Bombyx mori: one gene and its partners. The protein of the gene in region 1 purifies or fractionates together with the protein of each later gene. This does not show direct contact. Links are inferred from orthologs where the notes say so. Each region holds a gene or a part of one and is shown in the gene's direction. Other genes may lie near its edges. The genes, in order: membralin, signal recognition particle receptor beta subunit and ring finger protein 5.

Evidence for each region.
Region 2: the proteins of membralin (region 1) and signal recognition particle receptor beta subunit purify together in Homo sapiens (affinity purification with mass spectrometry; 3 studies listed by BioGRID and IntAct, counting the BioPlex papers as one, with this or other methods). This does not show direct contact. The link is inferred for Bombyx mori from reciprocal best matches to the Homo sapiens genes TMEM259 and SRPRB.
Region 3: the proteins of membralin (region 1) and ring finger protein 5 purify together in Homo sapiens (affinity purification with mass spectrometry; 3 studies listed by BioGRID and IntAct, counting the BioPlex papers as one, with this or other methods). This does not show direct contact. The link is inferred for Bombyx mori from reciprocal best matches to the Homo sapiens genes TMEM259 and RNF185.

Annotation. Positions count from the first base shown.
Region 1 is NC_085125.1:6,088,406-6,098,162, reverse strand, and holds part of membralin, read left to right. Parts: intron 1-5,156; coding exon 5,157-5,289; intron 5,290-9,757. UniProt on the Homo sapiens protein: May have a role in the ERAD pathway required for clearance of misfolded proteins in the endoplasmic reticulum (ER). Promotes survival of motor neurons, probably by protecting against ER stress.
Region 2 is NC_085114.1:6,491,808-6,502,243, forward strand, and holds signal recognition particle receptor beta subunit, read left to right. Parts: upstream 1-4,176; 5' UTR 4,177-4,562; coding exon 4,563-4,665; intron 4,666-5,322; coding exon 5,323-5,489; intron 5,490-6,313; coding exon 6,314-6,453; intron 6,454-7,029; coding exon 7,030-7,161; intron 7,162-7,535; coding exon 7,536-7,746; coding exon of another isoform or gene 7,747-7,758; 3' UTR 7,759-7,760; coding exon of another isoform or gene 7,761-7,830; 3' UTR 7,831-7,832; coding exon of another isoform or gene 7,833-7,833; 3' UTR 7,834-8,354; downstream 8,355-10,436. UniProt on the Homo sapiens protein: Component of the signal recognition particle (SRP) complex receptor (SR). Ensures, in conjunction with the SRP complex, the correct targeting of the nascent secretory proteins to the endoplasmic reticulum membrane system.
Region 3 is NC_085116.1:17,091,117-17,101,513, reverse strand, and holds ring finger protein 5, read left to right. Parts: upstream 1-4,133; 5' UTR 4,134-4,211; intron 4,212-4,410; 5' UTR 4,411-4,414; coding exon 4,415-4,569; intron 4,570-5,931; coding exon 5,932-6,070; intron 6,071-7,007; coding exon 7,008-7,170; intron 7,171-7,867; coding exon 7,868-7,965; 3' UTR 7,966-8,395; downstream 8,396-10,397. Other genes in the region: protein IWS1 homolog, read right to left, coding at 1,641-1,873, 2,496-2,704. UniProt on the Homo sapiens protein: E3 ubiquitin-protein ligase that regulates selective mitochondrial autophagy by mediating 'Lys-63'-linked polyubiquitination of BNIP1.

The DNA of each region.
Region 1 (9,757 bases):
CCTGCAACGTGGCGATTACCGGCACTAACGAGATCGTAAAGACGGATCTTCGATGCAAGGCGAGGATTACGCAAAATGTAACTCGCTGAATGCCGAATGGACTTAGGGCTGTTGTGAGCTGCTTTGTTGAACACGACTGATGTACATGTGCAGAGATTAACACAACTGATTTGCTTCAAAATGTAGAGTAAATGTAGACAGTCGAAACGTTTACCTTTGTACGGCTATCATAATATAAAAACTCAACAAATATTACAAAAACACCTTGAGTAAACCTAAAATGCCGCACTGGATCCATTATTCTCAATTTGCACCAAGTCGTAGGAAGGGTACAGTTGCGCCGCCAAGCTCTGCGGGTGTCCCCCTTGATTAAACTGAGGAAGTAAGAACTAACAATTTGTGTGCATTTCTTCCACTGATTACAAGTTTGACTAGCACGGAACGGATGCATCAGAAATCGCATTTATTACTGTCATATATACCATGTAATATGTATTATATAATTTGACAATAAATCCAAATAATCAAAGCAGCCCTTAAACTTTTAATGTCGCCTAAAACGTCACTGTTTGAAAAACGACAAATCTAGTTTCATAACTCACATAAATATTCATATTATATCGTATTGTTAGTAAAAATCTGTAACCAAGTATTTATACAGTATCTGTACTAATATTATAAAGCTGAAGAGTTTGTTTGTTTGAACGCGCTGATCTCAGGTACTACTGGTCCGATTTGAAAAAAATCTTTCAGTGTTAGATAGCCCATTTACTGAGGAAGGCTGTGTAAGATCACGCTAAGACCAATACAAACGGAGCACCAATAAAGAATGTTTCAAAATCGGTTTTTTTTTCTTTCTACGTAAATGAAGTCGCAGGTAAAATTTAGCGTTATGCCAAAGTAACTATTCCACGCGGATGAAGTCGCGGGCAAAAAATAGTTTATAATAAAGATTTCATTGACATTCATTGGTTAAAAAAAACTTTAAAAAGTTATTAGTTTAGTAGAGTATTAGTAGTTATTAGTAGAGTGCGTAGACAATCAATGTTTGTTTGTATAAAATCATGTTGGTAACATCAAGGATAGCAGACAGACATTATTTTTCAATTATTATTTTCCTTTTTATTAACGTCCTTTGGCCTAGAACGCTCATAGCATCACTCGACTCTACCTGTGGGTGTCGTAAACGGCTACTTTTTTTTTTTTCTTCCTACCTTAGCTGATAGCCTTGAGAGGCTATTTCAGCTTCGTCCTAACGTTTGTAGGTGAGCTCACGGGGCTCAACCGGAGAGTTGCTAACACTGACCCTAGCAAGAGCAGTGCTTCGCAGAATCTACCACCGGATCGGAAACGCGACCCACTGAGAAGATCCGGCGAGAAACTCAGTGGGCTGTGTCTATGGGTTAGTTCGCTCGTCGAGCCCTTCGTCGCAAGCGACGGGTTCGACGAGGACGGTGACCGGTGGCTACTAAGGGATTGACTGAAGCACGGGCAGTAGTATTCTCAGCATTATACCAGCGTTTAGCTCGAAACAGACTAAGCTTGCAGTAATTGTTGTATTTTTTAGTTTGGCCATATTGAGATCTCGAAAATAATTATTATCTTTAAAACCACTGCCGCTCATTCTAACTAACCAGCTTAAATTGGTCTAATCTAGTGTATGTAAAAATACAGTCAAAATTCTTAAATTAATAATTTCGTGAAACAACTCACACCTATAATTGCTTGGACGTACTTTAAAATAAACTTATTTTATGTGTATAAAATATTAAATTATTAAAATCTATTTACCAAGTTTTTCGTGAAAAAGTAACAAACATTATTTGCCACATTTACTTTATTTATTCACATTTATCCATCGAAATTATTTATCCTTCCATTCTACAAACTTTTGCATCTATAATATTAGCATATTTTGATTAAGAAGATTTACCTACGATACATCAATTACTTTATTAGTATTCGCTTGTAACAACAGAGAAGCGACTCATGTTATTACGAAATCATAATACAAATTTTTATTGCTTTTTGAAACCACTTCCATATCAACCGTTCGTCTTTACAATTTATATTGCAGAATATTGACTTAAATTGTGAATAATATTAAAAAAAAATTTATTCATAATTTGTTGATTCCCGTAGAAAGTTTTTTTTTGATTGTACACTGCTGATACATCCGCGGATCACCTGTAGTTTGTATTTCCGGTTCGCGAATTGGTATTGACACTTTCTAACTTATCACAGAGCGCTACTTTATGTATGTGAATGTAGTTAAATTTATATCTACTTTTTGTAATAATAGTTTTGTCAAGTAAAGAAAAAAACTAATCCGTATATTTATCGTAGAACTAGCTGACCCATCAGACTTCGTAGTGGCTCAATCGATAAATAAAAGACCTAAACTTTTGTATAAAATAAACTTAAAACAAACAAAAAGAATCCGTCCGACGGGGGACACATCAAAGGGAAAACAAAAAGCATTTTCATATTTATCTACCTTTTAAACCTTCTCTGGACTTCCACAAATATGTAATTCAAGACCAAAATTAACCAAATCGGTTCAGCCGTTCTCGAGTTTTAGCGAAACTAACGAACAGCAATTCATTTTTATATATATAAGATATACATTTATTCCGTACAATAAATTGAATTCTGCAGCAAACGATAAGTGAGAAGAGCAAAAACAATATTTCATTATGCCGTCTTATGTACGTAAATACTGCACTGTTTCAATAATTTCTCACTGATTCCGTTTCCGATGGAGGCAGCGCGTGCCTGTCGCCCATCTTCGGTGATCTTCGCGTAGTGCCGGAATTAAAATTAATAGAGGACCGTCGGCGTCACGTCCACGGTCCGACCCGGCCCGGGTAATTTGTTTACTCGTCTTGCTCGGGATTACGTCGCATGCTCCGTTGAATAGGTAACTGCCGGTGACTTTTTGCAAGTGCCAGCGAAGACTCCACTGTGCTCCTAAACCTAGTGCTTATTAATTTAGAATCATCGAAAAAAAAGGTCACAATAAAATTGAAACAATATTCGTTAAGACTTTTTTTGCTAATAATCATAAGCATATTGGATATTAATAGCGATTATGAAACTTTATTAGTACCACAAAATTAATATCAATCTTACGTTTCCAAGTCGTCGTGGCCTAAAAGATAAGACGTCCGATGCATTCGTATCTAGCGATGCAAAGGTGTTCAAGTCCTGAAGGCGGGTATCAATTTTTCTAATGACATACGTGCTTAACAAATGTTCACGATTCACTTCCACGGTGTAGGAATAACATCGTGTAATAAAAATGAAACCCGCAAAATTATAATTTGCGTAATTACTGGTGGTAGGACCTCTTGTGAGGCCGCACGGTTAGGTACCACCGCCCTGCCTATTTCTGCCGTGAAGCAGTAATGCGTTTCGGTTTGAAGGGTGAGGCAGCCGTTGTAACTATACTCAGACCTTAGAACTTATATCTCAAGGTGGGTGCCGCATTTACGTTGTAGTTGTTTATGCTCTAGTAACTACTTAACACCAGGTGGGCTGTGAGTTCGTCCACCCATCTAAGCAATAAAAAAAAGAAGTCTTATAAGTTCAATTATACGTTAAGTCGAGACGAAGTATAGACGTCACCATGTTATAACTCGGAGCAAGAGTTAATTGAGCGACACGGTTATGAATAGATTCGGTTAAACGTTGCCGGGTCGAGTGGCGGGCGGTTGCCGGACTTCCGATAGTCCCCTAACGTGTTTATTGTATCAGTGTCGGGCCTCATCAAAATGCAAATAAGGCACGCCCTGCCCGCGACGCCGGACAGTTGTCCGCCTTCTATTGAGTTATATTCCTACGTCTGATGGCCTATTGTTTCGTATTATTCGTGTCTACCATATCGAAATGTTTGCCAATATTACCCGAAATTTAATCCTCAACTTAGAAATTTCTACATCCAAGCACGTACTTGAGCTTTCAAATGTCTCGAGACGAAATTCCCAATCTCCTTACGTTTTCAAGTTGAAGACACTTGGTCCTGATAAAGCTGCTTAAATGAATTGCCTCGTCGTAGTGCTGCGAGACCGATGCATGTGTGCGGTTAATAAGCTCGTGGCGGGTGCGCTCAGGTTTCGGTCGTTAACGTGTAATTGTTGGCACCTAATTAGTTCGACACCCGACGACTCGTCTCTGGTGTCGCTGTCACATATGACCCGCGATACTTAATGTGACAACGAATTTCGTGTTAACCTCGACCGTGGGCTAGCCGTGCGGCGTGTGCTGTGCGGTGTACTTGATTAGTATGTGGTTATAACGACGGAGGGAAAATCTTCCACCGAGCGGGTGATATTGCTGGGTAGACCGACGGTCCGAATCTCGTTCTGCGAAACTTGTATATATGCACGCTTATGTGAAAAATTTCGTAAGCGTGATTCAGGCGTCTGTTAATTGTCTTGTATTGTATGATGGCTACCCGGCACAAGTATTTAAACCGTAACTAAAGGCTCAAAATAGTTTACTCGATCAGTAAGCTCTTTTGAGCCTCGAAAGACTTTATGAGTGCATGTTGCAGCGAGCTTGCAGTAAGCTCAGTCGGGGTGGTCTCGCATCTTACCCATTTCTGTCGCAAAAACGTTACGCGTCCTATTTGAAAAGGGTCCGATAGCAGTTTTTCTAATATTATTTCGATTTGAACCTCTTATTGCGAAATGGGCATCGCGAAGCGTCTTTCGATTCCCATGAGTTCCGTATATAGACCGTAAGCTAGTCTGCCTATCTACTCCATTAAAATGCAAGTTTCTAAAAATTGTTAACACCTAAAAATGTTTTGTATCTGCAGATTTGATTTTACCTTTTTAAGATTTTATTAAAAAAAAATGGAACGATCAAAACACTAAAGCAGCATTATTTTATGATATTTTTGCAAACGGAGAATACAGCCGGATTATGTATCCATCTTGAGATGGAAGTGTATAATAATTCTATCGTTTCAATGAATCTCGGGCTCAGACATCGTTAAGAGCCCTCGTATTTGTAAAATAGTCGAAGAAGTACTTCTGATTTGAAAATATTTCAATAATTTATTTTTAGATCATAAGTAGTAGTATTATGCGCTTATGAAGGAATCGTAGCTGGAGAAAGCAAACTGAATATATATTTTTTTCTTTCTACAGGAATGGAAGCCATAATGTCAGAGTTTTTCAACGATACCACAACAGCATTTTACATCATCTTGATCGTTTGGATAGCTGATCAGTACGACGCGATCTGCTGTCACACCGCCATAGCGAAACGGCATTGGTTAAGGTAAGTCATTTAAGGTCTCATTCAAGTCTCTCAGGCGAATAGCAAAAGATTCAACTGATAAATTCGATTTTTTTCCTACCTATTCGCTAGTAGCCTAAGGTGCTATTCCAGCTAGGCCCGGATAGGTAGGTGAGCTCACGGGCTCAACCCTTTTTTTTTTTCGGGCCGAATGTCGAACCTCCTACAAGGTCCCCGCGTGAGGTCCCATAATTGAGTGACTATAATTATCATTCCGTTCATATAATATATTTTTATTACACGACAGTTTATGTTTTTAATTTTCTTACGTCATATTTATCGAGTTGGGAAAAGACCAATTCATTACTAGTTTTGCTCGTGGTCCGATCTCACGTTACATTCTTAATCAAAAGGCGACTGAGTACGAAGCAATTTGGCTGGTCGTCCGCGAGGGCAATAAGGAGGAACGCTATTAAAACAAGCGCAAATAAAGCAAATTGAAAACGGCACCGCTGCCCCCTCGCAACGAGAGGGCTAGTTCCACCCCTCCTGTCCTCTTGGCGTCCTGTAAAAACAACGCCCCTAACGTCTCGAAATACCTCTTGATACGAACGAATTCTAGATTTAAATCCGGTGTAAAATTCTAGCATTTTTTTTTGAAAACTACACAACCACTTTTCCAATGACTTGTAAATAAATAATATTAATTTTAAATAACGTAGGTGAGCAGACGAGTTCACGACCTGATGTTCGTGTCCATAAGAATGAAACTGTCAATGCTGCGGCCCACCTTGAAACGTAAAGTCGATGACCTTATTGCATTACAATAACGGCTATTTTGTCTTTCAAAGCGAAATACACGCTTGTTTAACGGCATGAATAAAAAGGATAATATGTAATCAAACCGGCATTCAATTTTTAAATTAATTCAAAGTATATAAAATATGTTAGTTTACTGAATATTTTTCGAATAGATAATTTTGAGTTGAATCTACTCTTTTGTGTCCACGAACACTTTGAACTAACTCTCTTTGAATACTTTGAATACCAAACGTGATTTTAAATTTTCTTTTAAAATAATATGTCGAACCAACGTCGACGTCGCCGCTTTCTTTGTCAATTTAATTTCATCTGCGTTATCTTTTATAACTCTAGCGTACTCTACGATCCTTTGTACGGCGTTCGCTTGAGTAATCGTGTAATAAGAATATAAAAAAATATGCAATTTTCCGCTTACTTGAAGACGCTGGTTTACTGCAAAAAGGAGATCACGTATTTCATAATGTTGTTCAAATCGTAACGTTGTGATGTATTAATAACAGTAGAGCTCGCTGGAAACTTTAAAAGAAATATCTGGCCACTGTAATAATTTTATACTAGTAATTCTTGACGGGTCGTGATCGAGCTTAAAAGCGTAGCTTCCCGACTAAGCGACTGATAAGAAATCTTGTTTATTTGCCATACTAATGAATGATAATCATCGAGAGATTAATAATTGTGTCAACTTCTGATAAATCTTATGATGCGTTAATTTTTTTGTTGGTTCGATCGGATTCTATCGGATGCCGGACATTAAAAGCAATATACTTACGTATTTAGTTGTGAAATAATTCTTCTATATGACATACATTACAAATTAACTAATTTATAAATTCAAACAGCTGATACCGCTGGTGACATGTTGTGTACCAGAACGTGTCACTGTCACCAGCTTTCTTATGTTTGCCTTGAAACAACTATGCATTGTGTATTAAATAGTAGGATATCAATAAATTAAAATATAAATACAGATACATACATACAAATAATATACTTTGTACCCCTTTTTACGAAAATAGCACGGACGGAGGAGTATGAAATTTGCCACATTTATAGAAAATATAGAGAAGGAGTGCAGATTGCTAATTTTTATTAAAATTATACATAAAAAATGCATTAAATCAATAAAAAAAATAATTACACACACTACCGTGTATTTGACACACACATGCATGCATACTATTTGTTTATGTTCAAACTTTTCTTATTGCTTATAGTCTGTGGTTAAATTGAGAATAGATTAAATATTGTTTGTCTTTATTAATATTTGTCTAAAGTGTAGTCTTGGCAGATTCGGTGATTAAAGAAGTATAATAATAGTCTTTGAAAATAGAATCATAATTGTGTACAAACTTATAATTTCACTTAATTATAGTCGAATTTCGGCTACCGGGGGACCACTAGTAATACTAATTCCATGATTTCCAAAGTCGTTTTAGTTGATCACGAAATTATGTTACCGCAAATAATTAGGTTTTACACAAAATCGACCCACGAAAGCTATATCGTAACACTTCGCTAATGTGTTAATAAGTTTTGGGCGATGTTTGGTAAGGGTTGACCGTCGGAGTGATGCGGTGGGTCGGCGGCGATGCGGTCGCGGCGTAGTGACGAGCTCCCCGCATAAATCTCGGCGACCGCCAATTAAGGTTCGACCCGACAGTTTGTCTACGATGCCGCCCTGATTGCTATTACCCCGCTACATGTGTATACACTGTTCGACAGATTGTAACTTCGGTGGCTGGATTAGTACTATATATTTGGACGAGTCACAAATATAAATACGTAGACAAAAGTAATTACGTGACTTGAATACTTTTGAACTTATTGAAAATTAATTTTGTAGCCAGCGATACGTTTTTGATACGATGGAATTCAATTTAAAGCTACTTTTTTTATTGCTTAGATGGGTGGACGAGCTGACAGCCCACCTGGTGTTAAGTGGTTACTGGAGCCCATAGACAGCCACAACGTAAATGCGCCACCCACCTTGAGATATAAGTTCTAAGGTCTCAAGTATAGTTACAACGGCTGCCCCACTCTTCAAACCGAAACGCATTACTGCTTCACGGCAGAAATAGGCAGGGTGGTGGTACTCACCCGCGCGGACTCACAAGAAGTCCTACCACCAGTAAGTACGCAAATTATAATTTTGCGGGTTTCATTTTTATTACACGATGTTATTCCTTTACCGTGGAAGTCAATCGTGAACATTTGTTGAGTACGTATTTCATTAGAAAAATTGGTACCCGCCTGCGAGATTCGAACGCCGGTGCATCGCTCAACACGAATGCACCGGACGTCTTATCCCTTAGGCCACGACGACTTCGAATTCAAATTCGAATTTAAAGCTACTTAATATTAATAATGATATGGTTCCTATTTTTATTTATTATTTATAAGCCGTGCGAGAGTTGACGCGGTCGTGTCGTTAGGGGCGCGCGTCTCGTGTGTCATTTTAAGGATGTGCCAAATTGAAGGCTCCGGCGGCGGGCGTCATCGCGAGGGGAGCCTGATTTATGCTCTGGGTCCCGGCGCGCCCTCGTCTTCGATTAGAGGTTTGTTCACTCGGCCGAGGTCAGTTTTCTTATGAGTACGTCGACGCGATATTATCGGTTGCTTTTATTACGGGTCTCGCAGAAATAGCGCGTTAATATTATGTCATGTGTGTATGTTCCCTTAAAAACTTGTTCCTCTATAGTACTGTTACTTTTATAATGATATTGATTTTTGACGTGACAACGTCTCATAATTCGATGGAGCCGGCTGCACGCACGAAAAAACATGACTCATGCGGCGTTACCTCGTTCTGAGGCGTATTTTCTTATGACGTTGTCACGTTCAACTATCGTCAGTAAACCGACTTTGCAGACATCCGACTTTTTTTATTGACTATACAGACAAGCAACAAACTTCATAGTAAACAGTAATAATAACACAAAAGAAAGTATCGGACTCTTTGCATTAGTCATAAGTCTGAATGTATTATTATTTCATTTGTCTTCGGTGAGCAGTTCAATTCAATAAATTTAATTAATATTACGTTTCGTTTCTATGAATTGAATTCAAATTCAAATTCAAAATCATTTATTTCAACTTAGATGTCAGTATGACACACTTGTTGAATGTCAAAATACAAATAACAATGTTAACTCTACCATTGCTATTGAGTATTCATTGTCAAATAGATACGTTGGTATTATTGTATTAGCCCTGCCATTATGCGCACAAACGGTTTCAGGTATTGATTATAATTTAAGAGTTCTGTACCTTACAATTCGCGATCGACTACCACTACGAAGAAAGAGGTTGTAAATTGACGTTTATTCATATGTACGTAATTAGTAATATGGTATAAGTAGCGTGTAATACCGCATGTGTCAGTACCTTTACAGGTCCGGCCCACCTATTCCTATCACGAAGCAATAATGAGGTTTGACGATATGATGACAACAGCCTACTGAGTTTCTCATTGGATCTTTTCACTGCTCTTGCTAGGGTTGGTATTAGCAAATTTCGTCACGTTGAGCCCGTGAGCTCAACTATCCGTCCACGTGAGCTGGAATAATCCCTTAGACTACCAGCGAATAGGTAGGAAAAAAAACAGGAAAAAAACCACGACAGCTGTTATTTCATCCGTCATCTGCTTCATTTCAACTGTGTTAAACGTGCCACGTATACCGGCTCTGAG
Region 2 (10,436 bases), on another chromosome or scaffold:
TGTTCTGTCATTTGCGACCTGCCCACCAAGTCACCTACCCAGTTACGTCAAGACCAGTTGACTGATCCGGAAATACAGAAGATCGTCACAGAACTGGAAGGAGTGGATGAACTTGCTGCTAAAAGATGGTCAGAAAGAGGATTTCTAATGGAACAAGGTGTTTTATATCGACTTAATCCGGATTCTGATGCCGAGGCCCCACAATTAGTCATTCCTGCCCATCAAGTGACCGACGTTCTCAAAGAGCTTCACGATGCCCCTACCGCTGGACATGCAGGAATTGACCGGACTTACCAACAAGTCTCACGTCTGTTCTACTTCACAGGAATGAGAAGAATCATAACCGACTATGTAAAGGCATGTATCCATTGTCAACGCTATAAGGCTGCTAATACCAAGCCTCCAGGTCTATTGCAGACGCCGGTGATGAACCAGCGCAACGAGGTCTTGGCAGTTGATCTTTTCGGCCCGTTACCACCTGGAAAACAGGGGGAGCGTTGGATCTTGCTAATAGAAGATACTGCTACGAGGTGGACAGAACTTTTCCCATTGAAGGAAGCTACTGCTGAGGCGTGTGCACATGTCCTCATAGAGGAGTATTTTATGAGGTTCGGTCTTCCACGCCGACTAGTTTCTGATAATGGCGTACAATTTATTTCGGCAGTCATGCGTCAATGCATGTCCATCCTGGAGATAAAGCAAAACCTTATCCCTCTCTATCACCCAGAAGCAAACCCCGCCGAACGCAAAAACAGAGATCTTAAGACTTTATTAGCACAACTCGTGGAATATGACCACACTTCCTGGCCAAACATGTTACCAGTGATTCGGTTCGCTCTTAATAACGCTAAATGTCGCACCACAGGTATGTCACCTGCTTACTTGTCATTTGGCAGAGAGATGAGGTCCCCCACAGAAGTCACCCATGACCTTCGTGCTGTTCTAGACAAAGATAACTTTGTTCCCCAAATAACTCCCTATCTCAGGAAATTTGTTAACTCCTTTTCAGCGGTGCGCGAACGTGTAGAGACGCTTCAAGATAAAGCTAAAGGGTATGCTGATCGTTCGAGACGGCCCATTGAAACATTCAACGAAGGTGACATGGTTCTCATCAAATCACACGTCCTCAGTAAGAGCGCTAAGAGCCTTACTTCTAAGTTTGTTCCAAAACGCGATGGTCCGTATCGCATCGTTAAAAAGGTCAGCCCTACTACTTACCACGTCGCGCATGTTGACAAACCTGATGAAGTTTTAGGGAAATATCATGTGAACGATCTCACTCTATACCGTGAGAATCAGAGTGATGCTCTTCCGCGGCCGGAGATGCCTAAAAAGAAACGTGGTCGTCCCCCAAAGAATGTTAAAACAGATTCTCGAGTTCCAGGGCATATGACGACACGGCATGCTGAACCATGTGCTGAAGCTCCACGTCTTTCTCCCGCAGCTGGTGGTATGGTTGGTCTTGCGCCTGTCCCTCAGCCCAGTAGTAATGAGATGCTAGTCCAGGAGCGAGGGCGTCCTCCAGGACTAGAGGGGGAGTATGTAGCAAACCGACCGGTACGTCACTCTCGCGGCCGTATGCCCGCTCGCTATACATAGTTAGCATCTATGTCAATCTTTTCAACAGTGTATAATCTATGTTCCGGGCGCTTCCGTTTTGAGTGTGAATAGCGTGCGCCCGCGTCTAAATGTAATTATTGTTTAAAATTGAAATTGTTTGTGATAAAGGAAGATTAAAATTCGAAATTCGATATTGGTGACTAACCCATAGTTTTAAATACCCCTGAGATCTACCCCTCACTATACATGGCTTTTTTTATGAGGTATACAATAACAATATTCCCTGACTTTTATGCTAGGAAAACCTGTGTTACAAAAGTCAGTGGTTCAGTGCTAGGTCACCAGGTAAAGAAAGTTAACCAGGAAGAACGATCTGTAAGAATATAGTACGTACGTGTGTGTGTGTGTGTGAGTGTATGTGTGTTAGTGTGTTTGTGTGTGTATGTGTGTCATACAATAAAGTATAAAAATATTATTATATATTATATTATATATTATTATATAAAATATTAATTTAAAATTAGCTACAATGAATCAACAGTATATCATACTATATATACATCATTATACATTTTTACAACACGACTTGTTCTGTTTCAAAATAGTCTAAGTTTAAGAGCCAAGACTTCAGATTATTTTTAACGTCATACCTATTTAAGCCATCTATCTGCTGAGATATATTTACTTTATTATAAATTCTGCTACCTGACGAATAAATCTGTCGTCTGGCAAATTCCGTCCTACAAGCAATAGTGTCAAAGGCCGGTTTTCGTCTCGTGGAAAGTGAAGTTTCTTTAGGTATTGATGGGAGGCAGGAGTGCTGTCGCAGAACGGACCTGTGGACAAACAGTTGTCTAACCGTCAGCACTCCTGCGTCACGATACAGTTGTCTAGTAGAGTACCCAAAAGGCTTCCCAAGCATCACCTTAAGCACTGCCCTTTGCGCTCGTTCGATATTAATAAACTTTGTCTTGCAGGCACATCCCCAAATAGGGATGCAATAAGTTATAAGCGACTCTCAAAGGGAAGTGTATACGGTAAACAATATTTGCTTATCTGCCGAGCCTCTTAGCTTTTTAAAAATAAAAATTAAGCTTCGAATGCGCGTCGTCACAAGTTCCAGTTGATCATACCAATTGAAACAGCTGTCCACCAACACCCCCAAGTATCTGATATTATCAGTCCTAGCAATCTCCGAGCAATTACATGCGGAATATCGTCCATTACATACATGGGCCTTGAGAGTAATAGAATCACGCGGGGGTTGGACAGATTTTCTGCTTGCAAATGTTAAAAATTTGGTTTTGTCAATGTTTAGAGTTAATAGGTTGCGGTTCAGCCTAACAGGGTAATAACTGTGATTTATTAACTGTTTAATATCTGTGAAAGTGCACAAATGTGGGAAAATGAAAGCCGCTGGACGTAACTTTCCGGTATCCTCCAAAAAGTCCACTGAAAAAGTCTCAGTACCTACATAAATGACCACCATTTTACTGAGATTATATTTCATCTTTGGAGGTTATACGTAAGGAGAACCATCTCAGTATATTAAAAAGTGTCCATAAGCCGTTACACTAGCTGTTACACTTAAGCGCCATAACCTGTTACACTTCTGGTATATCCCCCGACCGCTCTGGGGGAAGGTGTAACGCGGCGCCATCAAAGCGGGCTCTCGGCCCGCTGAACGAGGGAACCGGTGGTCGTGTCGCTGGCGGCCGCCGGTCCGGCGTCCGTGGGACGGTGGGATGGATGTAATGTGCTCTGCGTCAACCCTGTCCCGCCGTTTCAATAGCCCCGACTGGGCTCCGGCCCGGTCCGAGGTAGGGCGCCGGTTGTGAGTGGCAGGAGTTTTTAGTGAGGTTCAACTCCCACATACCCCACCTGCCACGCGGGTGGGGATCCGGCGATTTTCTCCTGTGAAAAAAAAAAAAAAAAGACTGGTATATTTATTCCGATTTGCACTGCGAGCATTGTAAAGTGTGACGTCAAATTAGTATACAGCCAAGCCGTTCCTGTACAGTTACAGCTTCGATCAACAATAGTAACTGTTGATCGAAGAGTTACAGCATACTGTCATCGACGTTGTCATAGCGGTGTTTTCACTTCAGCAAAAAAATCTTGTTTAAATTTATTTATATTTGAAAATAGAATATTCAAGTTATTGTCAGTTTAATTAATCGCTTAAAGTAAGTATATTTTTAGTAAAAGAAAATATTGATTTTCCAGCAATTTCATCTATAATAACTTAATAACCGTATTATAGAAATGAGGTTATGCACAGTAAAAGTGCTGAAGTGAAGATTTATGAAATCATGTATCATTTCTCCGTTCCATTCACCATCATGTATCATCAATCATTCCTTAAGTTACTACGACTATATACTGTCAGTCCTTAACGTAGGTAACGAATAGCAGTGAGAGCACTGAAGAGTGCTCGCAGTGTAAATCGAAACATAGCCTTCACTGCAATCCAGCACACTACACTCAGTTTAAAACTTCTATATTCATACTATTTCCCCTTGCGACACTAGCGCTAATTCGGTGATTTTCGAACTATAATTTGCTGTTTACAGATGCGACACTTTTTCAACTTGTCCCCTATACAAGATGGCGCCTCCTTACCTCTACCCTCCATAATTTCATCCCATCTCATTTCACATGATTTCATTTCATTTTAATTAATTTCAGTTCATTTCATTTCATGCCATGTTTCATATTATCAACTTCATTTCATAAAATCATTTTTCATATAAAGAAATATATAAAAGATTAGGCTATATGGTATGATACCTTTGCCTTTCCAATTGGAAAATAAAACTACTACTAATCTATGGTATACAGTTTAAGTGTATAATCTATGGTAGTATACACGAAATCACGAAACACTAGACCATAGACTATACTTAACTTTAGACCCTAGAGCAGTACATTCACTTTGTTTAATTTTTTAAAGTACATATTAATTTAGTGACTTAGTGAGTGTGAAGCGAAAGAACTCTACAATGGAATCTGAAGTGGTTAAAGAAAAGATTCATACAGAACCGATCCTGAACGATCCACGATACATAACCTTACTTAGCCTTATTGTTCTAGCAGTAACCCTCAGTAAGTTGATATTTTGAATTTATTAACTACACAGATCGTTTCTGCTTGTGTATTTTTAAACTCAAGTTATTGTGCCATAGGTAATTTGGTGCTAAGGGGTTTGTTAAATGTTTAAAGCCATAAAGTGATTTTGGAGGGTAATCTATTTATCTACAAACATTCTAAGGCACTGCCAAGTAATTAGTGACTTTACAGGAAGGTCTTGTTAATTTGCAGCATGGCTAACTCAGTTCAGAATGTCAACATTGGGCAGCTCTAGAATCTAGTTTGCTGGTAAACAGATGTGATGATTTTTCCAATATGCTAACTTCACATTTTTTCTGATATGTGGCTCGAGTAACCTCACAGATAATAGTGATAAGTAGGGTTACTAAGTTGTCTACGTAGTTTATGGGTGCATTATTAAAACTTTTTATTCGATTGCTTAGAAAACAACAGAAAAACAGGCTTGTTTGCTTAATATTTATTTCATATTGAATTTTCACTTGACAAATTTTGAAAGTAGAATTGTTGTAATCAGCTTAAAAATGATGCTTTACAGTCATAAAGCTATTGGGGTCAAATGTTCAACACCATGTTTACAACAGAACTTGTTGGCTAAATATAAATGCTGTAGTTTATAAATAATCATATTTTTAATAAAAAAATTTATTTCAGTATTTTGGTGGATTTTCTCTCGAAGGTATACTCTTCGCAACTCAGTATTGTTAATGGGCCTATCAGACTCTGGCAAGACTTTGCTGTTTGTAAGACTCGCTTACTCTCAATACAGACAGACTTTTACTTCTATGAAAGAAAATATTGAAGAGTATATAACTTCTAATGTTAGTATTTGTATAAGTATTTTAAAGTTTTAGGTTACTAAACTATAAATGAACGACGAGATAACCATGAATATATAAACTAACGCATGATGTCATGTGTTGCAATTTTGACTGTGGTTTAATTGGAAAATCGTTAGAAATATATATTGGAAATTATTTTATTTAGTGATTTAGCATATTAATCATTATAATTTAACAAAAATAGTAATTGATTAATTATTTTGACTCATTATTGAAGATCCATCACTTCGATAAAGCGGCACGACACGAGAACCCTCTCATCGTGGCCGCTGGTAACTACATTCCCGATCCTGTGGACAGAATGGAAAGCAGTCGACGTCGCCCAAAACACGTCATCTCGGATCCTCCCGATCCACTAATGGTGCTTTTAGGTACTTCAAGCACCGGTCACCGTTCTCGTCGAACCCGTCGCTCTCGACGAAGGGCTCGACGAGTAAATTAACTCTCAGACACAGCCCACTGAGTTTCTCGCCGGATCTTCTCAGTGGGTCGTGTTTCCGATCCGGTGGTAGATTCTGCGAAGCACGGCTCTTGCTAGGGTTCGTGTTAGCAACGTCATCAGGTTTGAGCCCCGTGAGCTCACCTACTAGCCACGGTTACGCTGAAATAGCCTCTAAGGCTATCAGCTAAGGTAGGAAAAAAAAAAAAGATCCATAATAACTAAGTTTGTTTTGTTTTGGTTGCCTATTGAAAGTGGTCTGGTCTTATGATTGGCAATGGGTTTCCCATTGTTGGTGTCCATGATTTCAAGGAGTAAAAGAAATATTTTATTAACTTACCTAACTGGATTTTTATTATTACAGAAAACATTGAAAATAGTTGATCTGCCTGGACAAGAGAGACTGAGAAATAAATTCTTTGAACAGCACAAGAGTAGTGCTAAGGGAATTGTGTTTGTGATTGATTCTATCAATATACAGAAAGAAATCAGAGATGTAGCAGAGTAAGTAAAGGCAGTAGACACTCAATGAAAGTCACTACATATGGAGATTCGCCTGGGCGAATGCATCTTTTTATAATTACTTTTATTCGTTGTTTGTTCTGAATTAAATTCTAATCACGAGTATAGCAGCATATTATCACTATAATCCTCACCCCCACCTCCGTCTTGGGGGAGGCTTATGTACAGCAGTGAATGTCAGAGGGCTAATTTTTTTTATTGTTTGTTCCAAACCACATTAATAAAGCAACATTAATCATCACTGAACTACTACTTACTGGAAATCAACATCTAATAGTTTCGTTCTTACCTCTGAAGAAGTTAAGGTATTGTTTTGAGAAACCGGTCTTATGTGACCACAGTTTCTTGATTGTATCTCAATTAATAAAAATAAATGAATAAATGTTTTTAGTAGGATTTATTAAGTTTTGTGGCCAGTATTTAATAATTTCAACAACAGAAATTAAATTGTCTGCATTGCTCCAAATTTGCCTGTGAGTGAGATTAATCATGTCTATGTGTTTACAACCAATTCAAAGATACTCATATAAATACTAAAAATATACACATTATTTACAGATACCTATACACAATCTTGTGTGATCCGATCATTCAGGGAAACACAACTCCCCTTCTAATATTGTGCAACAAACAGGACCAGCCATTAGCAAAAGGAAGCCAAGTTATCAAAGGATTACTCGAAAAAGAAATGTAAGTTATCCGCGCTTTCTATTTTTACAAGTAATTAAGTAATTAGCGGTAGGCAGCGGCTTGGCTCTGCCCCTGGCATTGCTGAAGTCCATGGGCGACGGTAACCACTCACCTTCAGGTGGGCCGTGTGCTCGTCCGCCTATAAGGACAATAAAAGATTAACAAAAAAATGCGAAGTTTTAAGATTTACAAGGGCAATAAAAAAAAAGTGGGTATCTCTTCTGTCATCCTTGGCCTTTACTAATGTAATTAACACTAGATATCATTAGTCACGGGCGTTATTCATGAGCTTTAACATGTCTTTAAAGAAACCGATTCTGCAGGCAATTTAATTTTCCTTTAATTTGTTATTAATTGAGATACGATATTCGCAGAAATTTAGTTCGTGTGACCAAATCGAATCAACTGCAGTCCGTCGATCCGTCTGAAGGCAACATCGGGTCGTTCCTAGGTAAAGAGGGTAAAGATTTCGAATTCTCTCACATTAGAAATAAAGTCGAATTCGCAGAGTGCTCGGCCAACACGAATGACGATGAAAATCCGACTGACATCAAGCCTCTGCAGGATTGGATCTCGAAGCTGTAGACTGAAATTATCATATATTTTTTTTGCACTACCTACTATACTCAGCATTTTTAGCCACAGTAGGTACACTAATGTGTCGTTTTGTTATTTTAAAAATGTTTAATTAGACATATTCAGAAAATAATTTTGCTTTTTATGTTTATTTGAGATATCGTCGCTGTCAAACCAAAATCTGCTATGTGCAAAAACTCTATTTTGGATTAAGGAGTAAAAACATTTTCGTATAAAATTTTATATGAAGGTGTATTTTTAAGCACTATATCAAATGAAAGCTATAAATAAATATTAAAGCTATAGATAGACGCATAACAGTTTTTTTTATACGGTAGATAGGGCTGTGAACTATACGAAAAGGTCAAAAAGTAAAAATCTCAAACAAAAATTTGCGCATAGCAGATTTTGGTTTGACAACGACGCAATGTTAATTAAGTTGTTTTTTTTTTTGCTTTTTTTATGCTTTCTTCATCAATATTCCATTGTAAATGAGCGTTACCATTATGTATCAACGCTAGACTGATGATGTATGTATAGGCAGATACTTATTGAATATTGTATTTAACTGTATTTTGATATGCAAATTAAATAAACTACCTATTATATTTTTTAAATGTGTTTGTTTATTGACCTAAAAGTAACTCAGGACATGCTGCCCTGCTACATCCTCTGCTAAATATGTATTTTTTTCTAAAACAATAGTTTTCTATGTATTCCTGTTGGAATTCAAAATTCGCCATTCCCATACGATCAATCGTAATACTAAGTAAAATGTTAACGTAATATACACATTTGAACATACGTAATAAAAAGTTTACATAAATTAATTTATGTATGAAATCCTTTGCCAAGACAACCACCATCGTAGTTTTAAACTAAAATTTCAAATTCCATGAAGTTTTTTATTTATAAACTAGCGACCCGCCCTCGCTTCGCTTCGGAAACATTAAAACACACATGAAACCAAAAAAATTAAATTAAAAAAAAATTTAAAAAAGTAGCCTATGTTCATCAGGGACAATGTCGGCTTCTAATGGAAAAAGATTTTTTCAAATCGGTCCAGTAGTTTCGGAGCCTATTCGAAACCAACAAACAAACAAATCTTTCCTCTTTATAATATTAGTATAGATATCATATTAAGTTCCATTTTCAAATTCAGTAATTATTTATTGATTACTGTTTTGTTTTCACTACATCTTTTTCATCAATATAATGAATGATACGATAAAAAACTGAGTAATTATGGAATACGAGTTCGTCGCTTTGACAATCCCGCACAAAAGGCTTAATGACGTGTACGGAGTGAATACTGCAAACGAACTCACAACTTATTGGCTTGAAAACTTCTGACATAAAAAGAAATCTAAAAGAACCCCGTTATCACCCGAAAAGTAAAGGCAACAACGACAAATTAAAGGCGACCGTGGAAGTTGACGATACTCAACATATCAACTATAACTATACTTGTATCAATTGTAACTATACTTGAGACCTTAGAACTGATATCTCAAGGTGGGTGGCGCATTTACGTCGTAGATGTCTATGGGCTCCAGTAACAACTTAACACCAGATGGGCTGTGAGATCGTCCACCTACATAAGCAATAAAAAAAAAAACTATGAAAACTATATTGATTCATTTGCGTCAAATTGGCTATGTAAAAAAGTTGATAAATGGGTGCCGCACGAACTGAAAGATCGCCAGCGCGACGGACGCGCGTTAAGGAATGCCTTGCGTTGCTCAACAGACACAGCAACGAAGGAATTTTGAAACACATTGTGACTTGCGATGACGAAAAAAGTTTTTGATAATCTTATGCTATCATGTTGGTTAGACCCTGATGCAGCACCTAGGCAATACCCCAAAAGAAAACTTACAATAAAAGGTCATTGTATCTTTTTGGTTGTATAGACCGGTCATCGTTCCCGTCGAACCCGTCGCTTGCGACGAAGGGCTCGACGAGTAAATTAACCCTCAGACACAGACCACTGAGTTTCTCGCCGGATCTTCTCAATGGCTCGCGTTTCCGATCCGGTGGTAGATTCTGCGAAGCACGGCTCTCGCTAGGGTTCGTGTTAGCAACGTCATCAGGTTTGAGCCCCGTGAGCTCACCTTCTAGTTAAGGCTACGCTGATATAGCCTCTCAAGGCTCTCAGCTTAGGTAGGAAAAAAAAGGTGGTCTAGTGCTGATATAACTATTCGTAGTTTCTTACCAAATGGCACCAGCATCACTGCGAATATTTTGACTGTGAGGAACTGGACACAATGATGGAGAGGTACGTCAATCGCTTGTCCTGCTCCTACACAACAACGCTCGACTTCATACGCACAATAAACGGTCTCTAAGCTGCAAGAGCTCGGATTGGAAGTTTTGCGTCATCACAGTATTCACTAAACCTTGCGCCGACAGATACTTATGTACTATTTCCAAAGTTTGGACAATATCTTGGCAGAGAAAAACCTCAATATCCGAGAGGCAGTACTATATTATATGCCTTTGAAGAATTTGTTGGTTTCGGTATACTTGAAGTTCATCAAGAAGGGCATTGAAAAATTACCACTGCGCTGCCATAGATGCATAGATACCACAAGAACATATTTTGATAGAAAAAAAAATAAAAAAAAAAGATTAACTTTCTGTAAACTAAACGGCAATTTTGTACATAGGTTCGACCTTTTATTAAAAAAATGGAAGCT
Region 3 (10,397 bases), on another chromosome or scaffold:
GGACGTGTTAAGCTCAGTGATGATCCCCATCAAGGTCGTCCTAAAACTGCAGTCACCCAAGAAAACGTTGATGCTGTGCGTAAGCTGATTGAGGAAGATCGACATGTGACATACCGCCGACAACCGTAGTTAGAACAAAAAAAAAACTTAATCTGCTTTGTTTCAAACAAGTTCACTCAATATAATTAATTAAAACTACCAACACTGTTAAATTTATCGTTATTAACTATGATTCAAGTACTTATCAGATTGTAGAAGTCAAAGTATCTATGCAATTCTGCAGTAAAAGGACACTATTAGTGTCATAGCTATATAAGCTACATGGCATCAAATTATCTAGTCGACAAAATAATACCTTAACCAAGTAGTTTATCTTTTTTTTTTGATTCGAACACGGTTGCATCGCTTGATACGATTTCACCGGGTGTCTAATCCTTTAGGCCACAACAACTTCATTTCTCTTGAGATAATGATTGACACACTCATACATAAAGTTGCAACAAAGTCCTTACTGCTTCTTTGATGCAAATATAACCCTGTTGTCGAAAAAATGCTTACAAGTGAACTTCAAAGTATTGCTACAGCTTTTTCCTGATTCTGACAGATTTACCTTGAGGGTAGAAGTGTTTGTATTTTGATGCTATGCAAAAATTAAGCCATTCTTTGACAGCTGTATATGACCGGATCTGCAGATCACTCTGATTTTATATCATTAAATGAAATAAATAATAATAGTATGGTGCACTATCTGCGGAATACGGGGGGAAGAGTAATATGTCTTATTTGAACATTTCAAGTAGGCTTCAATGGGGTTGGCAACATGAGGCTAAGTGATGGCTTCCAGGAGAATCATTTTACTATAGCTCTGGTGGATTGTTACCATTTTTCATGCAGTGCTCAGTTTAATCACATTAACTTCGATTCTATTCCCCAGTGATGTTTTCATTTGGTTCCAAAAGCTCATAATAAACAATTGTTCCCACCAAATACACAGCGTAGCCTTATTGTGAATATTCGGTAAAGCTAACGATATAGAAACATCAGTAGTTCCCAAGTTTTCTTTAGGTTGCTTCAATTTTTCACATTGAATCCATTTTTCATCATCTTTCACGATACCATGAACAAAATCCTTCTTTTTAAATGTTTGGAGCACATGTTTGTTCACGGACGAAAAAACAACACCCTAGAGTTCTTGTCTTCAACTCAGGAACCAAAGATCAGTGCTTTTGTATCATTCGCAACACGTGCAATTGCTTGGAAACGACTTGGCCTGTTACTCTTAATGCTGAAGTAAGCTGAACTTTGATTGACACAGATCTCCATCAAGCAATTCCTCTAATTCAGAGTCCTTGAAGATTTTTGGCTTTCCCTAATGCAGATGGTCATGAATCGTTACAACTTCACAACACAATTATTTCAGTCAGAGCAATTTTCTTCAAATGAAAAAGGAAAAACAGCACTTCTCACAAATGACGATTAATTGTAACTAAATCAGACATTTTCACACGATTAAACGTATATCATGCAACAAGAAGATCATTATAACGCGGTTTGTGTACCATATGTAAACGTATAAAAATCAACCACCATTTATTGCAACAGTTCATATAAACAAACAACCAAATATTAAAAAGACTTACCACAAAAGAACTTTGGTTCGCAAAAGTCAAATTCATCTAAAGTTGGAGAGTTCTCAATGAAATGTGAAAGTTTCTTGTTGGAATAGTCTACGACAAAAGAATTTACTTCTATGCCGTGATTTATGCCGGAGGTTCCAATTATCAGACCAACCAAGGTGTTCAAGTAACCTGTCCCAGAGCCGACGTTCAGGAAAGTTAAGCCTGTTTTCAGTTCTAGGGCTTCCATTACTTCACTGAAGATATAAAAGATTACTAATTATCACAATACAGAGAGATAGTTCATTTATTGCATTCCAAATTACTTATAATAGTATATGTAATAGTATAATCATAAGCCATTTCTGGCAGATATTTAACAAACATAATGTAATATTATAAATTATTTATACAACAATCCATGTAAGTATGTAGCTCAAATTTGAAAAATAAACGAACATTAAAGCTAATCAAACTAAGAAAAAAAACAAATACAAAATTTGTTTTTTTCTATTCTGGTTATTTGAGTTAAGATATTTCGACAAAGTACTCAAATTATTATATTATCTTTGATCAAGTGTGTCATATTGGTCAAAGTGACGACTTAGTGAAAATTATGTTGAAATATTGTTATAAACATATATAAATAGATACAGGTCAAGCATGATAAACATTCTGATAAGTTTAAGTTACATACAATATGGCTGTTAACAATTTGTATTGTAATGAATTTTTATTTTATTTCGTGTATTTTTTTGTTTTGCTGTATCTTTGTTATTATTACTAGACTTGCATCAGCACTTAATAATCCAAAGTAATTATTAATTTCTGATTACAAAGGAAAATAAATACAATGTTTTTCCACCACCTTCAACATACCTGTAAATACACGGTGCTGACATATGCAGAGATCCATTCCTCCAGGCAAGGTCCTTATACGCCTGATCCCGTACTTCTGAAGACATGTAATCGGCACGATCGAGTGCCCGGAATACGTTCTCCACTTCCGCGGAACGGATGTATTTGCCTCTCATCAGGTTGTCAATCAACTCATTATTATCACGCCCTGAACTCACTGCACCTCCCATTTTTAATGATTCTTTTCTACCACCACCTTTAAGAAGAACTTCCCTCGCACCTCAGCTGATTCTTGACGTGACGTCACTTGTTTTTCAACATATTTTGCACTTCATTTCAAAAAAACTTACTTTTAGAGTCAAAACTATCTATTAGACGTTTTAAATAAAGAATTACGATATTGTTTTAAAACTGGATTTCTCTCTATCGGCGAATGGGTGCTAAGAGTAGCGATCGTTCAACCATTTTCCTTTTGGTTCTCGTTGATTTCATTGATTAATAGCAAAGAGTAAAGATTAATGGTTGTTTACGGTATGTAGTGATTATTATTGTCTTTGGTTGGTACCAGGATTGGAATAATACAAGACTTGGCTGCGGCCTTATTAAAAAATTTATTTCAGGAAGAAATTTTAAAGGACTTGGCTTCGGCCGTAATGATTTTTTTATTTCAGGACATAATATAAATCATATAAGGGCTCGGCTTTTTTTAAAAATGACAAGGTTGTATAGGCCTAAGGAAAAATTGTACCAAAAAAAAATGTCTTTGGTTGGTCAAAATTAATTCTTGAGTAGTTTTTGACGGGAGCGCGAATAGAATTGTGTTTGTGTTAACGTTTCTTCATGTTTAAATGTATAATAAAGAAGATTTATTAACTGTTTATCCTCTGTTAACGTGCACAAATGTAGGAAAATGAAACAAAGTTGCTGGACGTAGCTTCTTGGGTTCTTTTAAAAAGTAGACTGAAAAAGTTTCCGTAAATAACCACCATTCTATTGAGATTTCATCCCTTCTCAACCCGTTTCATTTAATTTCATTTCGTAGATATGAATAACAATTTATGCATAGGTGTTTTGAAATATTTTATGATATACTTAAATGAAACTAATTTTCATGAAAACATAATTTTTTCAGTAATTTTATATTTGATTAAACTAATATACCTAATAAGTGGTTTTTTATCTTGTTTTCAAAATGTACTCGTACTGTTTTAGTAATTATGACAACATAAATAAAAAGTGCGTGTAAACACCAGCGTGTGGCCTACCCTAGATAATTAGATAACTCTATTATACAACCAACTCATCTGATCTTAAGGGTTAATTTAGTATTACCTAGTGTTAGAAATATACTTCTATTTTTAAAGAGGCATAATTTTAATAATTTTCCATTCATTGGTAAAGGTACGAAATAAATAATTACAAATCTTTCCTTATTTAAAAAATAATTGAAATAAAATAAATCCTAATCGCTTTTTTGTAATTACTTCCCATATCAGATATCGTATACTGTAGAAAAGATAAAGATATGTACTGCGAGTTCCAATATTTTCCATAAACATCGACTGTCATGGGACCCTTGTCCTTACAGCTGACAATTGACAATCAAGATTTTTTGACGCTGAATGACATCTACTGACAGATCAGCAATCAGCATACCACGGGATTGGAAATGTGATTTATTTATTTATTAACAAGTTTCTATATGAAATAATAAACTCAAACATCAAATTTAAAGTGGCAAGTGTTGTATTGTTATTGACCTTTCTCTGCAAACAATAACTTGTTATAAATTTATAATTTGAATATATTTTGTCGTGTCACAATAACATCCAAGCGAACGTCACTACACCAGTATCGTGATAACGCTTCATAAATTGAAAATTTCAGTTCCAAAAAAGAATGTCAAGTTGTGATTATTAAATATTTCGTAATGTAGGGAAATGGCGGAGACTAGTCAAGCGCGAGCGAGCCCCTCGGCGCCTGGGGGCGACGCTGGTGGCGAAGAAGACAAACATGACGAAAGAATGCTAGAATGCAACATCTGTCTGGACACAGCCCGTGATGCAGTCGTCAGTATGTGCGGCCACCTCTTCTGGTGAGCTCATTGTCGTAATTAATACAGTAAATAATTAGATTTAAATCTAATGGCTGAAAGATTTTTTATGAATATTCACAACTATTGAAAAGGTAAAATATCATTTGAATAATTTGCATTAAACTATGCTCATTATTATTCATTCTCATTACTTACCATTGACCTTGTAATGCAGTAAAATCAATACACTGAATGGAATGAACTATGAATGGGAACAGCTGTGCTTTGTGCTACAACATAATTGTATCTATCTATTTATTGATTTATTAAAAATGTTAAAAGACAATTTATTTTAATCAAAATTAATTCTATATTAAAACAGATCTTTAAAATCAGGATTTACATTAAATAGATTAGTAGAGCCATGGTCTCTCAAGAAGGTGGTGGCATACAATATGTACATTTGAAAATTGAATGCTTTTTCTCTTTAGCATCAGCCCTCTGATGTTTTCTCAGATTTGATTGATTTGATAGTCAGGGTCTCTCAAGACTATAGTTTTGTTTTGTCAAGGAGAGCCAAAGAAGGCTATAAAATAAATTTTCCTATATTGTAAAAAGTAAATACAGCTTTTTATCTACTGGTAAAGCGTCCTCAAGCTGGTAGGGCCAATTATTGGACCATAGTGATGCACACTCTTTAGACAGGGGCTCAGATCAGTTTAGCTGGCTTAGTTTACCTACTATAACAGAAAAGTTACTGAATTTCTAGATAAGAACTTGTTCAACATAAACTGTTATATTACTGTTAATCAGTACATAAAAAAAAATTTATGCTTATGAAAATACTGTATTGTAAAATAAATTTCATATACACTATCATATAAAAGTTTAAAATAATATTATATATTTGGAGCTACTTAAAAACACAACACTGTTTAGAAACAAACATAGTTAAGTCTAATAAAAAATAGTAAAATTAAAAACTAAACCAAATAAGAATTTAACATACAATATCAATATTTACCTATTTAAACTTTAGCCTCATTGAAATGTCCCTCGTGTTTTTTTAATTATCTTCACACATATCTCTAGGCAAAATAAATTTCCTGAAATATTCTTTATTCAGCTTTTTCCACTTACTTTCCAATAATTTCAAAACATTGAGTTTGTTGGTGAACAATTTTTTACCCTCCCAGTCGTTCATGCCAAATGAATTCAATGGGAGAAATGAAGTCAGCTGATTGGCAACAGAGAAAACTTGAACTTGTTAAATTGTTAGAGAACCTTTGCATATTTTATGAGATTATATAATATGATTTATAATGCAAGGTCTGAGTTTAACCATATCTTGTGTTCACTTGCTACTCATTGCGCACTAGTGTTTTTCAAAGAGACTATGATGGTATATTGTTTACAATGCAGCTGGCCATGTTTACATCAATGGTTGGAAACCAGACCCAGTCGGCAAGTCTGTCCTGTTTGCAAGGCTGCCATCAGCAGAGAGAAAGTGATCCCGCTCTATGGAAGAGGAAACACAAAGCAGGAAGACCCAAGAAACAAGGTAAGTAATACAAAAAAAATAATGTAAAATTATAGAAACCACTTTTGTTGTTTCTATACTTCTGAAGCATAATATTGTCAACAACAACACAGTTGAAACTTTTTTAACTTCAGATGAAACTTTTTTAAACTTCAGATGTATGTATGTTAGTGAGTAACGGAATCTCTGAACATGATTTTGACCTTAAAAACGTCGGCTTAACGACTAGTTCAAGTAGTTATAAATATTTTATGAACAGATATGAGTAGAAGGGTTATTTTGATAATATCCTGAAAAGCACCCCATGCTTTTTTACAATAAAATCATTTTTTCTTACACTATTTTTAATTCAAATTTATTAAAATTTATTTTCTATTTTTAGTTGGATTTTCTATAAAAGCGTATTTTGTTAGCTTTTGAAACTAGTGAAGAAATACTTTTTTTTTGTAAATTAACTTAAAGCTTATCACTCCTATTTTATTTGAATCAATTATGCCAATGTTCTAATCAACCCGATAAAAAAATCCTAGCATTAATTATTTATATATTGAAGACTATACTTAACATTGTATGATAAAAATGAAATCCGCACATTTTTATGATTTGCATCATTACTGGTGGTTGGGCGTAATAAGAGCCCACACAAGTTGGTATTACCGTCGTATCCCTTATGCTACAAAGCAGTGTTGCAGGGCGATTAAAATGCTGGAAGCAATATAATTGAGACCTTAACTTCATGCCCAGATATGTGACTATTGAGTATAGTATTGATACATTCACCTCACTTTAGTGTGGTCCGTGGCACTTACTTGGTGATATAGACTGACAGGCATCTAAAACCAAGTGGACCCTGTGGTCCACTGATCAGTGATTGCTGCTCATATAAAGTTTGGTTTTGCCCAACTCAGAGGTATTGTTATCAGAGCAGGAATAAAGCCTGGACGTGTATTGTGCGCAGGTGCCCCCCCGGCCGGCAGGACAGCGCACGGAGCCGGAGAGTACGAGCGGCTTCCCAGGTTTCGGCTTCGGCGAGGGATTCCACATGTCGTTCGGGATAGGAGCCTTCCCGTTTGGAATTTTCACCTCGACATTTAATTTTGGTGATCCAAGGCCTAGCGCCGGTTTGTATATTTGTTATAAGTATTTCCCTACCTTTAAATATGAGCTCTTTTGATCTGCCCTGAGAACACACGAAGTTCATTGAAATTTTACATCAACATTTGACAATGGAAGGTGTAGTTGGGGGTCCAAGAGAGTCGACTCCATATATATTGGTTCTCTTAGGTACATCCAACACTAATGACGCATTATTGGGTTTTTAATAGATTCTATATTATTTTTTAGTTTTATGATAGACTAGCGACCCGCTCTCGCTTCGTTTCGAAAATATTAAATTTTATTATTGATATATGGTTATTGTCGTACCGCGAGTGACGCCACGGGACGAAGCTAGTCTAAACAAGGAGCCTAAATTACTCCTTATATCATCAGCTACCTATCAGTCAAAATCGGTCCAGCCGTTTTTGACGGACAGATTAGCCGGAACGGACAATAATTGTAAAAAATGTTATTTTGGTGTATGTACCCGTATGTATTCATATGTATGTAGTAGAAAGTGGTTATTTCAATATTACAATCACACACACTCCAATTTTATTTATATGTATAGATTAATTTATGCCAGACCCGTCCGCCTCTGGCTGTGCAGTTAGAGTCGGTAGGGGTGAGTACCGAGTGTTGAGGTGGGGTGGGGGGGAAGGATGGCCCGGCGGGTCCTCCACCCCTAGGCCGGATGTAGAGTGTCAGTTTGGTCCGCAGCGCCGCGCGGTACGGCCCAGTTCGAAGAAGAGCAGTTCCTATCGAAGATATTCCTGTGGGTCGCTATCCTGTTCGTGCTGTGGCTGGTGTTCGCCTGACCGCCCACAAGTACTGCCACCAGGTTACAATACTAATTAACTCTGTAAACATTTATTTAATAGAAGGATACTTGAAAAGTTCTTTTCAAAATTGATTCTTGTGACTACGGTAGTGTTTTGTTGACAGTGACAGATCAAGTCGTGGTTATTTAATTAAAGACACCGAACCTTTTATCTGTATATTTATGTGATGAGAACGATATCTGGGAATTTGTTACATTTTTTTTTTGTCAAATTAAAAAAGAGCAATAGCGTGTCACCATCAGCAACCGCCAATTTGAATGTGGCTATCAACAGTAAACTTTTTTATTTTTTGCCATTACACTAAAGGCAGCGGCTTGGTTCTGCCCCTGGCATTGCTGAAGTCCATGGGCGACGGTAACCACTCACCATCAGGTGGGCCGTATGCTCGTCTGCCTACAAGGGCAATAAAAAAAAAAAAAAAAAAAAAACCAAATGAAGGGAAAAAGATCAAAAACCCTTGATGTGGTACATACCTACACATTTTAGTTCGAAATATTTTTTATGCGATGATATTTCTGTGCGAGTATTAAATGCGGCGCGGATCTGGACTAGAACTGAAAAGCGAAAACATTTATGTAAATATTCCGTATGTTCTTGGATATTCGCGAGCCGTGCGAAATGAAAACATTTACAATTTACCTACGGTTTAGTCTCACGTATCTCATCATTTGATTTCATTAATTGCGCCGTTTTGAATACAGAATATTTCCCACAGTTTTTAACATTGCGTTAAATAAAAATACGTAGAACAAAAATTATTACGAGTATTATAAACGTCAGAAATAACAAAACATAATGTTAACACTAAAGCTAGTCACTGTAGCAACCAAACGAATAAATGAAGTTTTAAATATTTAAATAACACAATCAACTGATTATTGAGAAAAAAATCAAATATATTTCGGTGTTTTTAGTTAGATAACAACCGCTACGTAAAAACTCTGACTGGCTTAAAGAAATCATTTAATTTCTGAGGTTTGACGAGTGAACGAAAATATTTACGGCTCAATATCGCGTTCAGTTCAAACACGAAACAATTCGAGAGCTCGACCTCACGCCTCGAGCAGCAATCGAGTGGCGTCCGTGAGCGCCGATGAGCACTAAACGCCGAGTGGCTTGTGAGGTGGACGCATAGAAATGAAATAAGAAAAAACACCACCAGAACGCCTGTTAGAATGACATCACAAATGTTGTAATGTCGATAAATATCCACTAACCAGGACTATGACATACCGTAAAGCTCACCTGTGCTCAATATGAGTATTGTTTTGGAAACGTGCAGGTTCACGGCACAGTGCTCTCAACTCCGTACACATTTTTCAAACACAAATTTAAAAAATAAAACATCATTGGACTGTCGCCATTCTGTATGCTTAGTGCGAGTTTTTTAACGTTCTCGATGCGTAAAAGTTAACTCAAATTTGTATGAAGTTGAAAAAGTCCCTTCGTTTCCCGCTCGGGGAAAAAAACTCGCAATAAGTATGTACACTGTTCTAATCTAATATTATTCCTGGTATTTTTTCCTATTGAACCAACATTCCTTTTTTTATGATAACCTTTAAAAGTTCATAATAATAAAATACATATTATGTAATTTATTTTAATGTTAAAATTAACGTGCATTGATGTTTGTATCAGAAGGTAATTTTCTAAAATTGTTGGAAATTGTTAAATTGACGCATTCGAAGGAAAGTTTTGGGCACCACAACTTCATGGTGAGTTCAATGAGGTCGGCTTGGCATCCGTGGGGATGTTGCCTTCGTGGTGTGGTGGGCTGATGGCTGCTCATCACAAATTGGCGCGGGGGTGGTACCAAAGATGGTGGTAGATCGTAAAAAAGTATTTTGGTGGAAACGCTGAAAATTACCTCCTGAAAAACAGTAGTATGTAGTAAGTTTAGGAAACAGTAAAAAGGTCTAACGGTTTCAAAAATGAATTTAATCACGCCAGTAATTTAATTAACTACATTTGCGCTATATTTTGAAGTATTGCGTGTTCAATCTGTGGTTATTATAATATTTTCGTGTATATAACGTGTATATATTATTATTGTGTTATTGTATTTGCTGTAAGTACATAAATTTTAATGGGAAGGTTCATTTTATTGTAATAAATAAAATAAAATAATTTATTAAGGACGTTTTTCTTAAAATTTTACAGTATGTACATAAGCATTATAAAAATGAAGTCTAAAGGTTTGATTTCGACTTTTATTGATTTCTGAATCCCAAGTCGAATATTTTAGTATTCCAGACTACGGATGACGTAATTTAAAAAAAATTATAATATATTAAAAGAATAATAACGACCTCAGTACAACTTGCATCTGCCATCTTTTTACTGGTGGTAGGATCTCTTGTGAGTCCTAGGTACCACCACCCTGTTTATTTCTGGTGTGAAGCAGTCAT